2 linked regions of the Saccharomyces cerevisiae S288C genome follow. The protein of the gene in region 1 interacts with the protein of each later gene in a biochemical or structural test. Each region holds a gene or a part of one and is shown in the gene's direction. Other genes may lie near its edges.

The links. The genes of interacting proteins can lie anywhere in the genome.
Region 2: the proteins of VPS4 (region 1) and BRO1 form a complex in vitro, tested with the Saccharomyces cerevisiae proteins (3 studies listed by BioGRID).

What each region holds. Positions count from the first base shown.
Region 1 is NC_001148.4:885,890-889,546, reverse strand, and holds VPS4 (AAA family ATPase VPS4), read left to right. Parts: upstream 1-1,709; coding exon 1,710-3,023; downstream 3,024-3,657. Other genes in the region: DPB2 (DNA polymerase epsilon noncatalytic subunit), read right to left, coding at 1-573; CSA1 (Csa1p), read left to right, coding at 839-1,504; YPR172W (pyridoxal 5'-phosphate synthase), read right to left, coding at 3,149-3,657. UniProt on the Saccharomyces cerevisiae protein: Involved in the transport of biosynthetic membrane proteins from the prevacuolar/endosomal compartment to the vacuole. Required for multivesicular body (MVB) protein sorting.
Region 2 is NC_001148.4:392,281-397,072, forward strand, and holds BRO1 (Bro1p), read left to right. Parts: upstream 1-1,757; coding exon 1,758-4,292; downstream 4,293-4,792. Other genes in the region: COPII coat assembly protein SEC16, read left to right, coding at 1-1,374; tRNA splicing endonuclease subunit SEN54, read right to left, coding at 4,422-4,792. UniProt on the Saccharomyces cerevisiae protein: Class E VPS protein involved in concentration and sorting of cargo proteins of the multivesicular body (MVB) for incorporation into intralumenal vesicles. Fusion between endosomes and the vacuole will then target the cargo proteins to the vacuolar lumen.

The sequences.
Region 1 (3,657 bases):
AATAAATTGCATTTTGTGCGGATTGTATGAGAATCTTTGTTGCTGAGAAGCATTGATAACTTTGAAGTAGTCCCTCCAGTCCAACGCCTTGGAGCTTTCTGGCTTGAAAGGCTGTTTATATTCATCTCTTTCGGTGGGCTGTCGCATGGGTGAAGATAATGAAACATTTTGTAAGGATGAATCAGCAGCGATCGGCATTTCATCGTCACTGTTGTTCTCATCGTCATCTGTCCGTCCCAAGATATTCTCCTCATGTTGAATAGGGTGTTCATGACTCCATTCGACTTTCTCACGTTCTTTCATCTCCTGTATAACTTCTTTAACCCCGCTCTGGTCGATGAAAAGGCCTCTTTCTTGTTGTTTCCATACTGCAGCAAATTGCTCGAGAAATTTTATTGTAGCAGGCCCTTGTCTCCAGTTAGCACCTATATTAGTGCCAACGAATTCTGCAAGAGCAGACAGTCCATCAGATTTAATTGATAAACCATATTTTCTTGATAAAACTCTATACGCCAGTGGCCTAAGCAGCGGAGGCTGAATTTTAACAGGCAGAACATTCCCAGAGCCAAACATTTCACACATAGACGCTTCTAGTTCCACTTACAAACTTTAAAGGCATAAACAAGTCATCTCAACTTTATTGTAACATGTGTTAAAGATGCCCAGTTGAAATATTTTTCTATTATGTCACGCGAAAAATAACGCGTCACATCACTTTTGTTCCTTTTGTCGTTTTTCTTCTTTTAGATTCCATCTTGAAAAGAGATGAAATGGACAAAGTAACATAATTTAGACCCAACAAAGTAAAAAGAAGGTTGGGTTGGCATTGAAGATCACAATGGGAATTCAGGAAAAGACATTGGGGATACGAAAAGAGCGCAAATTGGTGGTTGTGCCTCGCGAAAGAAATCATGTTAGACACGCTTCACAAAGGACACGTTCTAAAAACTACAAGAATATCTCCAAAAAGAGGGCTCAACAACACGCGTTTGGATTCAATATTGCTAAGACTCTTGCCAAGATCCAAGCGTTTGTATGGGGGTCTCCCGCAGATGAGGAAGAAGAAAGCGTTGTCCCATTGTCTAAAAATTCTCAGGATTGTGTGCCTCTACAATGGCAAGCAAAGTTTGCGCAATTGCGGCAGCAGCTGCACTCTACACAAAAGGAACTACAATTTGTCAAGGAAAAGTGTCATCTGTTGCAGTCGGTGTTGGACGACGCAAACATCGATCAAAGATACCTGGAGTCTCGTCGAGACATGAAAAATATTGAGCGAGACAACCTCAAACCGACAGAAAATTTACCACCTTCGCCAGTAAGAGCAGTAAACCCGTTAGTGACTTCAAGTCCGATTCACATGTCGCCACTCCAGTCGCGCCAACGACCAGTTTCTTCCCTACAGCCCCCAAAGGGCCCCAACTTCTACGCCAAGTATCCTAAGCTTCCTCAAACGAACATTCTCAGAGAATCTCCGACTGAGGATTCGGTTCCGCACGCTGAATAGAAACACAACACGTCATGGTTGTTCTTTCTGTACATCTATTTATTCTTGCTTGATGATATTTATTGTATTGCTTTACGGGTACCCCCGCTGGGTGAAAAAAAAAAAAAAATAAGAACTTCATGATATCGAACGATTTAATCGTGGGTTGAGGACATGGAAGACAAAAATAAAGCAGCATAGAGTGCCTATAGTAGATGGGGTACAAATGAGCACGGGAGATTTTTTAACTAAGGGAATAGAACTGGTTCAAAAGGCCATTGACCTGGACACAGCCACGCAGTATGAGGAGGCGTATACAGCATACTATAACGGATTAGATTATTTGATGTTGGCTTTGAAATACGAGAAAAACCCTAAGTCGAAGGATTTGATAAGAGCGAAGTTTACAGAGTATCTAAACCGTGCAGAGCAGTTGAAAAAGCACTTGGAAAGTGAAGAGGCAAACGCGGCAAAGAAATCTCCTAGCGCTGGTAGTGGTTCCAACGGTGGTAATAAGAAAATCTCTCAGGAAGAGGGTGAGGATAATGGTGGAGAAGACAACAAAAAGCTAAGAGGTGCCTTATCGAGTGCTATTTTGTCTGAGAAGCCCAATGTTAAGTGGGAAGACGTGGCTGGACTGGAAGGAGCCAAAGAGGCCCTTAAAGAAGCCGTTATTTTACCTGTCAAGTTCCCACATTTGTTCAAAGGTAACCGTAAGCCCACTTCGGGAATCTTATTGTACGGACCACCAGGTACAGGTAAATCATATTTGGCAAAAGCAGTGGCCACCGAGGCCAATTCTACCTTTTTCAGTGTTAGTTCCAGTGATTTGGTTTCTAAGTGGATGGGTGAATCTGAAAAACTTGTCAAACAGTTATTTGCGATGGCAAGAGAAAATAAACCTTCTATTATTTTTATAGATGAAGTGGATGCGCTAACAGGTACCAGAGGAGAAGGAGAGAGCGAAGCAAGTAGAAGAATTAAAACAGAATTATTGGTACAAATGAATGGTGTTGGGAATGACTCCCAAGGTGTTTTGGTCCTTGGCGCAACAAATATCCCATGGCAACTGGACAGTGCCATCAGGAGAAGATTTGAAAGAAGAATATATATACCATTACCAGATTTGGCGGCAAGAACCACCATGTTCGAGATTAACGTCGGCGACACTCCATGCGTATTGACCAAGGAAGATTATAGAACTTTAGGTGCAATGACTGAAGGTTATTCCGGGAGTGATATTGCTGTAGTGGTGAAAGATGCGCTAATGCAACCGATAAGAAAAATTCAAAGCGCGACACATTTCAAAGATGTCTCTACGGAGGACGACGAAACAAGAAAACTAACACCATGCTCTCCAGGTGATGATGGCGCCATCGAGATGAGTTGGACGGATATTGAAGCTGATGAATTAAAAGAACCAGATCTCACCATAAAGGATTTCTTAAAGGCTATCAAATCGACGAGACCTACCGTGAATGAGGATGACTTGCTGAAGCAAGAACAGTTCACTAGAGATTTTGGTCAAGAAGGTAACTAGTCAATTGATTAACGTGCTAATGTAGATTTCTTGTGTACATGAAAATAAAAAATAAAAAAAAAAAAAAAACAGAATAATTAAATACAGAATCGTATGCAAAATAGATAAAGAAAAGCAGAGGACAGTTAACTCTTCCCTTTACTTAGAAACATTGTTCTGTTCTCATTATTGGATACCCTAGCATTATCAATTCTAACTTTAACAACGGCGGTGTTCTTTTCAAATATAAAAGCTTTCGCATCAGGATTAGCCTTTAGTATTAAATCTTTATAGTACTTGGATTCTTCACTTTCAGGATTGACAATTTCGGTTTCGCCACCAATAGATGCGCTCATTTGGTTCAATTCGGCTTGATTTAACTCCTGTAACAAATTTAAAAGCTCGCTTTGACGTTGCTCTTCATGAGGAATAGAAGTCGGCGTCGGAGTCCCAGAGATGCTTTCCTTGCCCACTGACAAATTATTCGCGATGATCCAATCGTGAAACAACAGGGCGACCTTAGGGTTCTCCTTGATGTTGTAAAACTTTTGTGTGTCCTGAGGAGAAACAAATATAATGTAGTCATTCTTATTATCTGTTTGACCGAACAGTTTTTCACCTGGCACATAGATATAGTTCATCAATGCCACTGAAG
Region 2 (4,792 bases), 490 kb from region 1:
ATCCAACCGATTCTTCAAACTAACGTGGAGGTCCGGGGTACTGATGCATCGAAAATGGAAAATTCACTTCCCTCCATTGAAAATGAAAGAAGTAGCGAGGAGCAGCCAGAAAACATTTCAAAATCAGCATCATCAGCATATTTACCATCAACTGGTGGATTGTCACTCGAAAACAGACCGCTAACTCAGGATGAAAACAGTATCTCAGAGACAGTTCAATCCACATACTTGCCAGCAGGAAGTATTTCAATGGAAGCTAAACCAATTTCTCAAGTGCAAGATGTTCCAAGAAATGTTAATAATAAAGCATCCAAACTTGTGGAGCAACATATGGCACCACCAAAGCCAAAAAGTACTGACGCAACCAAAATGAACTACTCACCATACGTGCCTCAATCAACTGCCGCTAGTGCAGATGGCGATGAATCAACGATTCTGAAAACATCGCCTGCTATATATGCAAGAACTCACCAAGCACATGCATCCAATCCATCACAATACTTTCCTTTGGTCAACCAAGCAAATGAAACTGCTTCATTCGAATTATCTGAATCAACATCCCAGGCACAAAGTAATGGAAATGTTGCTTCAGAAAATAGATTCAGCCCAATAAAGAAAGCCGAAGTCGTCGAGAAAGACACTTTTCAACCTACTATTAGGAAGGCTTCAACTAACCAATACAGGGCTTTTAAACCGTTGGAATCAGATGCGGATAAATACAATGACGTTATTGAAGATGAATCCGATGACGACAATATGTCTACTGATGAGGCAAAGAACAGAAAGGAAGAAAAAAAGAATGTGAATATGAAAAAGGAAACAAAACCAAGTAACAAGGACATAGATGACAAGTCTAATGGTTGGTTTGGTTGGTTGAAGAAAGATACTGGCGACAAAAAAGTGTATAAGGCCAAGCTAGGTCATAAAAACACACTATACTATGATGAAAAATTGAAACGTTGGGTGAATAAGGACGCAACCGAAGAGGAAAAACAAAAAATTATTGAAAGTTCGGCACCACCACCTCCTCCAATCGTGAAACGTAAAGATGGCGGCCCAAAGACAAAGCCACGTTCAGGCCCCATCAATAATTCCCTACCTCCAGTACATGCCACATCAGTTATTCCGAACAATCCAATCACTGGTGAGCCTTTGCCGATCAAAACATCCCCTTCTCCTACAGGACCCAATCCAAACAATTCTCCATCACCATCCTCTCCCATATCAAGGATTTCTGGCGTAAACTTGACTAGCAAAAAGGCAAACGGTTTGGATGATTTATTGAGTTTGGCAGGAGGACCCAAACCAGCAAGTACGAGAAGGAAGAAGAAAACAGCGAGAGGCTATGTTAATGTAATGGATAACATACAATAATTATAGTAATACGTTTTTCTTTCATGGTACCCTTATGCCTTCCCTTTTCTTGATGTATATTATATACTTATAAAAACCGTAGTAAATTTTATTAAAACAATGATTACAGGAATCCGTATTTAGGTTATGCATCGTTGTCAGTAAGAAATCAGATGAATGCGATCTGAAACTTTGCTTATACTAATATTATTCTATCATACCTCATTTTCTTGCTTCGATTAATGCAGGACGCCGGTTCCGGGTTAGGATCACCGAGAAACAGAAAGCAAGCAAGGCTTCAGTTACAATTCGAAGAAGTACTAAGGGGGTTGTCGTGGAAAAATCTTGAATCAGAAAGCGGCTGACTGGAGCATTACTAGGTTCATTACTCACTGGTTCTACTCATGAAACCTTACTTATTTGACCTAAAGCTAAAAGACACAGAGAAGCTGGATTGGAAAAAAGGCCTCTCCTCATATCTCAAGAAATCATACGGCTCCTCACAATGGAGAACATTTTATGATGAGAAAGCTACTTCAGAACTGGATCACTTAAGGAATAATGCAAATGGAGAACTAGCACCTTCTTCATTGTCGGAACAAAATCTAAAATATTACTCATTTTTGGAGCATCTTTATTTTCGCCTGGGTAGCAAAGGATCAAGATTAAAAATGGATTTCACTTGGTATGACGCAGAATACTCATCGGCCCAGAAAGGATTGAAATACACGCAACATACGTTAGCATTTGAAAAGTCTTGTACTTTGTTCAACATTGCTGTAATCTTTACCCAAATTGCGAGGGAGAATATCAATGAGGACTACAAAAACTCAATCGCAAATTTGACAAAAGCTTTTTCCTGTTTTGAATATCTATCAGAAAATTTTTTGAACTCACCTTCAGTCGATCTTCAGTCAGAAAACACTAGGTTTCTGGCTAATATTTGCCATGCAGAAGCTCAAGAATTGTTTGTCTTGAAATTATTAAATGATCAAATATCATCCAAGCAATATACATTAATCAGTAAACTTTCTAGAGCCACGTGTAACCTCTTTCAGAAATGTCACGATTTTATGAAAGAAATAGATGACGATGTGGCCATTTATGGTGAACCCAAATGGAAAACGACAGTTACTTGCAAACTGCATTTCTACAAATCGTTAAGCGCTTATTATCACGGTTTACACCTTGAAGAAGAAAATAGAGTTGGCGAAGCAATTGCTTTTCTCGATTTTTCTATGCAACAATTGATTTCATCCCTTCCATTCAAAACGTGGTTAGTGGAATTTATAGACTTTGATGGGTTTAAAGAAACTTTAGAAAAGAAACAAAAGGAGTTGATTAAAGATAACGATTTTATATATCATGAAAGCGTTCCAGCCGTTGTGCAGGTTGATTCCATTAAGGCGCTCGATGCAATAAAATCTCCAACATGGGAGAAGATATTAGAACCATATATGCAAGATGTTGCAAATAAATGTGACTCTTTGTACAGAGGAATTATTCCCCTAGATGTCTATGAAAAGGAAAGTATTTACTCAGAAGAAAAAGCGACGCTGTTGAGAAAGCAAGTTGAAGAAACTGAGACAGCAAATTTGGAATATTCTTCCTTCATCGAATTTACAAATCTACCCAGGCTCTTGAGTGATTTGGAAAAACAATTTAGTGACGGAAATATTTTCTCGAATACGGATACACAGGGACAATTGATGAGGGACCAAATTCAGACATGGTGTAAATTTATCCAAACAAATGAATTTAGGGATATAGAAGAACAGATGAACAAAATTGTTTTCAAAAGGAAACAAATTTTAGAAATCCTTTCTGCCTTACCCAATGATCAAAAAGAAAATGTTACAAAACTAAAATCTTCTTTAGTAGCTGCTTCAAACTCAGACGAAAAATTGTTCGCATGCGTAAAACCACATATTGTCGAGATCAATCTATTGAATGACAATGGAAAAATATGGAAGAAGTTTGACGAATTTAATCGCAATACGCCTCCACAACCTAGCCTATTGGATATCGATGATACCAAAAACGACAAGATATTAGAGTTGTTAAAACAAGTAAAGGGCCATGCGGAAGACTTAAGAACATTGAAAGAGGAACGTTCGAGAAATTTGTCTGAACTAAGAGACGAAATCAACAACGATGATATCACAAAATTATTAATTATTAATAAGGGGAAATCCGATGTTGAGCTCAAAGATTTATTCGAGGTGGAACTGGAGAAATTCGAGCCTTTGAGCACAAGAATAGAGGCGACAATTTACAAACAATCTTCAATGATAGATGACATCAAAGCCAAGCTAGATGAAATTTTTCACCTTTCAAATTTCAAGGATAAATCTTCTGGGGAAGAAAAATTTTTAGAAGATCGTAAGAATTTTTTTGATAAGCTGCAAGAAGCAGTGAAATCATTCAGTATTTTTGCATCCGACTTGCCAAAAGGAATAGAGTTCTATGATTCATTATTCAATATGAGTAGAGACTTAGCAGAAAGAGTGAGAGTTGCAAAGCAGACCGAGGATTCAACAGCTAATTCTCCCGCTCCTCCCCTCCCTCCACTTGATTCTAAAGCGTCTGTCGTTGGGGGTCCTCCATTACTGCCCCAAAAAAGTGCAGCCTTTCAGTCATTATCTAGACAAGGGCTCAATTTAGGGGACCAATTTCAAAATCTCAAAATAAGTGCCGGCAGTGATTTACCTCAAGGACCCGGTATTCCACCAAGAACTTATGAAGCTTCGCCATATGCTGCAACGCCTACTATGGCAGCCCCACCAGTACCACCGAAACAATCGCAAGAGGATATGTACGACTTGAGAAGACGTAAAGCAGTTGAAAACGAAGAACGTGAACTGCAAGAGAATCCTACGTCCTTTTACAATAGACCCTCTGTTTTTGATGAAAATATGTACTCCAAATACAGCAGTTAGGTGCATTTCTTATTTCTTAATTTTATTGTAGCTTTTTTTTTTCAACTAATATGATAATTATATATATACCGGATTTGTTGAAAGCCAGTTTTGCAAGGATAAAGAAACTGCGATTTAGCAAAAGTCCCTTTAATGCTTCTTCCATCTTTGATCTACTTTCTTTTGAGTATTAGGTGTATACCATACACTTTCAGATCCAAAATCAGCCTCGGACATTTTTACAAACGAAATAAGGCCATTATCCATAATAGCGATAATAAAGCTCCGATATCCCGTCTTCAATCTACGATTTTGCTGTATGTGAGGTGGGTACGCCTTTCTCTTCTTTTTCGTGCTAGACTGTGCAGTTTTTTTTTGAAAACTTGCTTTCATAGACGACTCACTTTTTTCAGTTTGAGATTTCGCGCTCCTCTTATGAATATATTCCTTTCGTGGGATATCTTCAACGTAGGAGTTTGTCTCCCAATCGTCATCATCCTCGATTTCGCTTAAAAATTCGA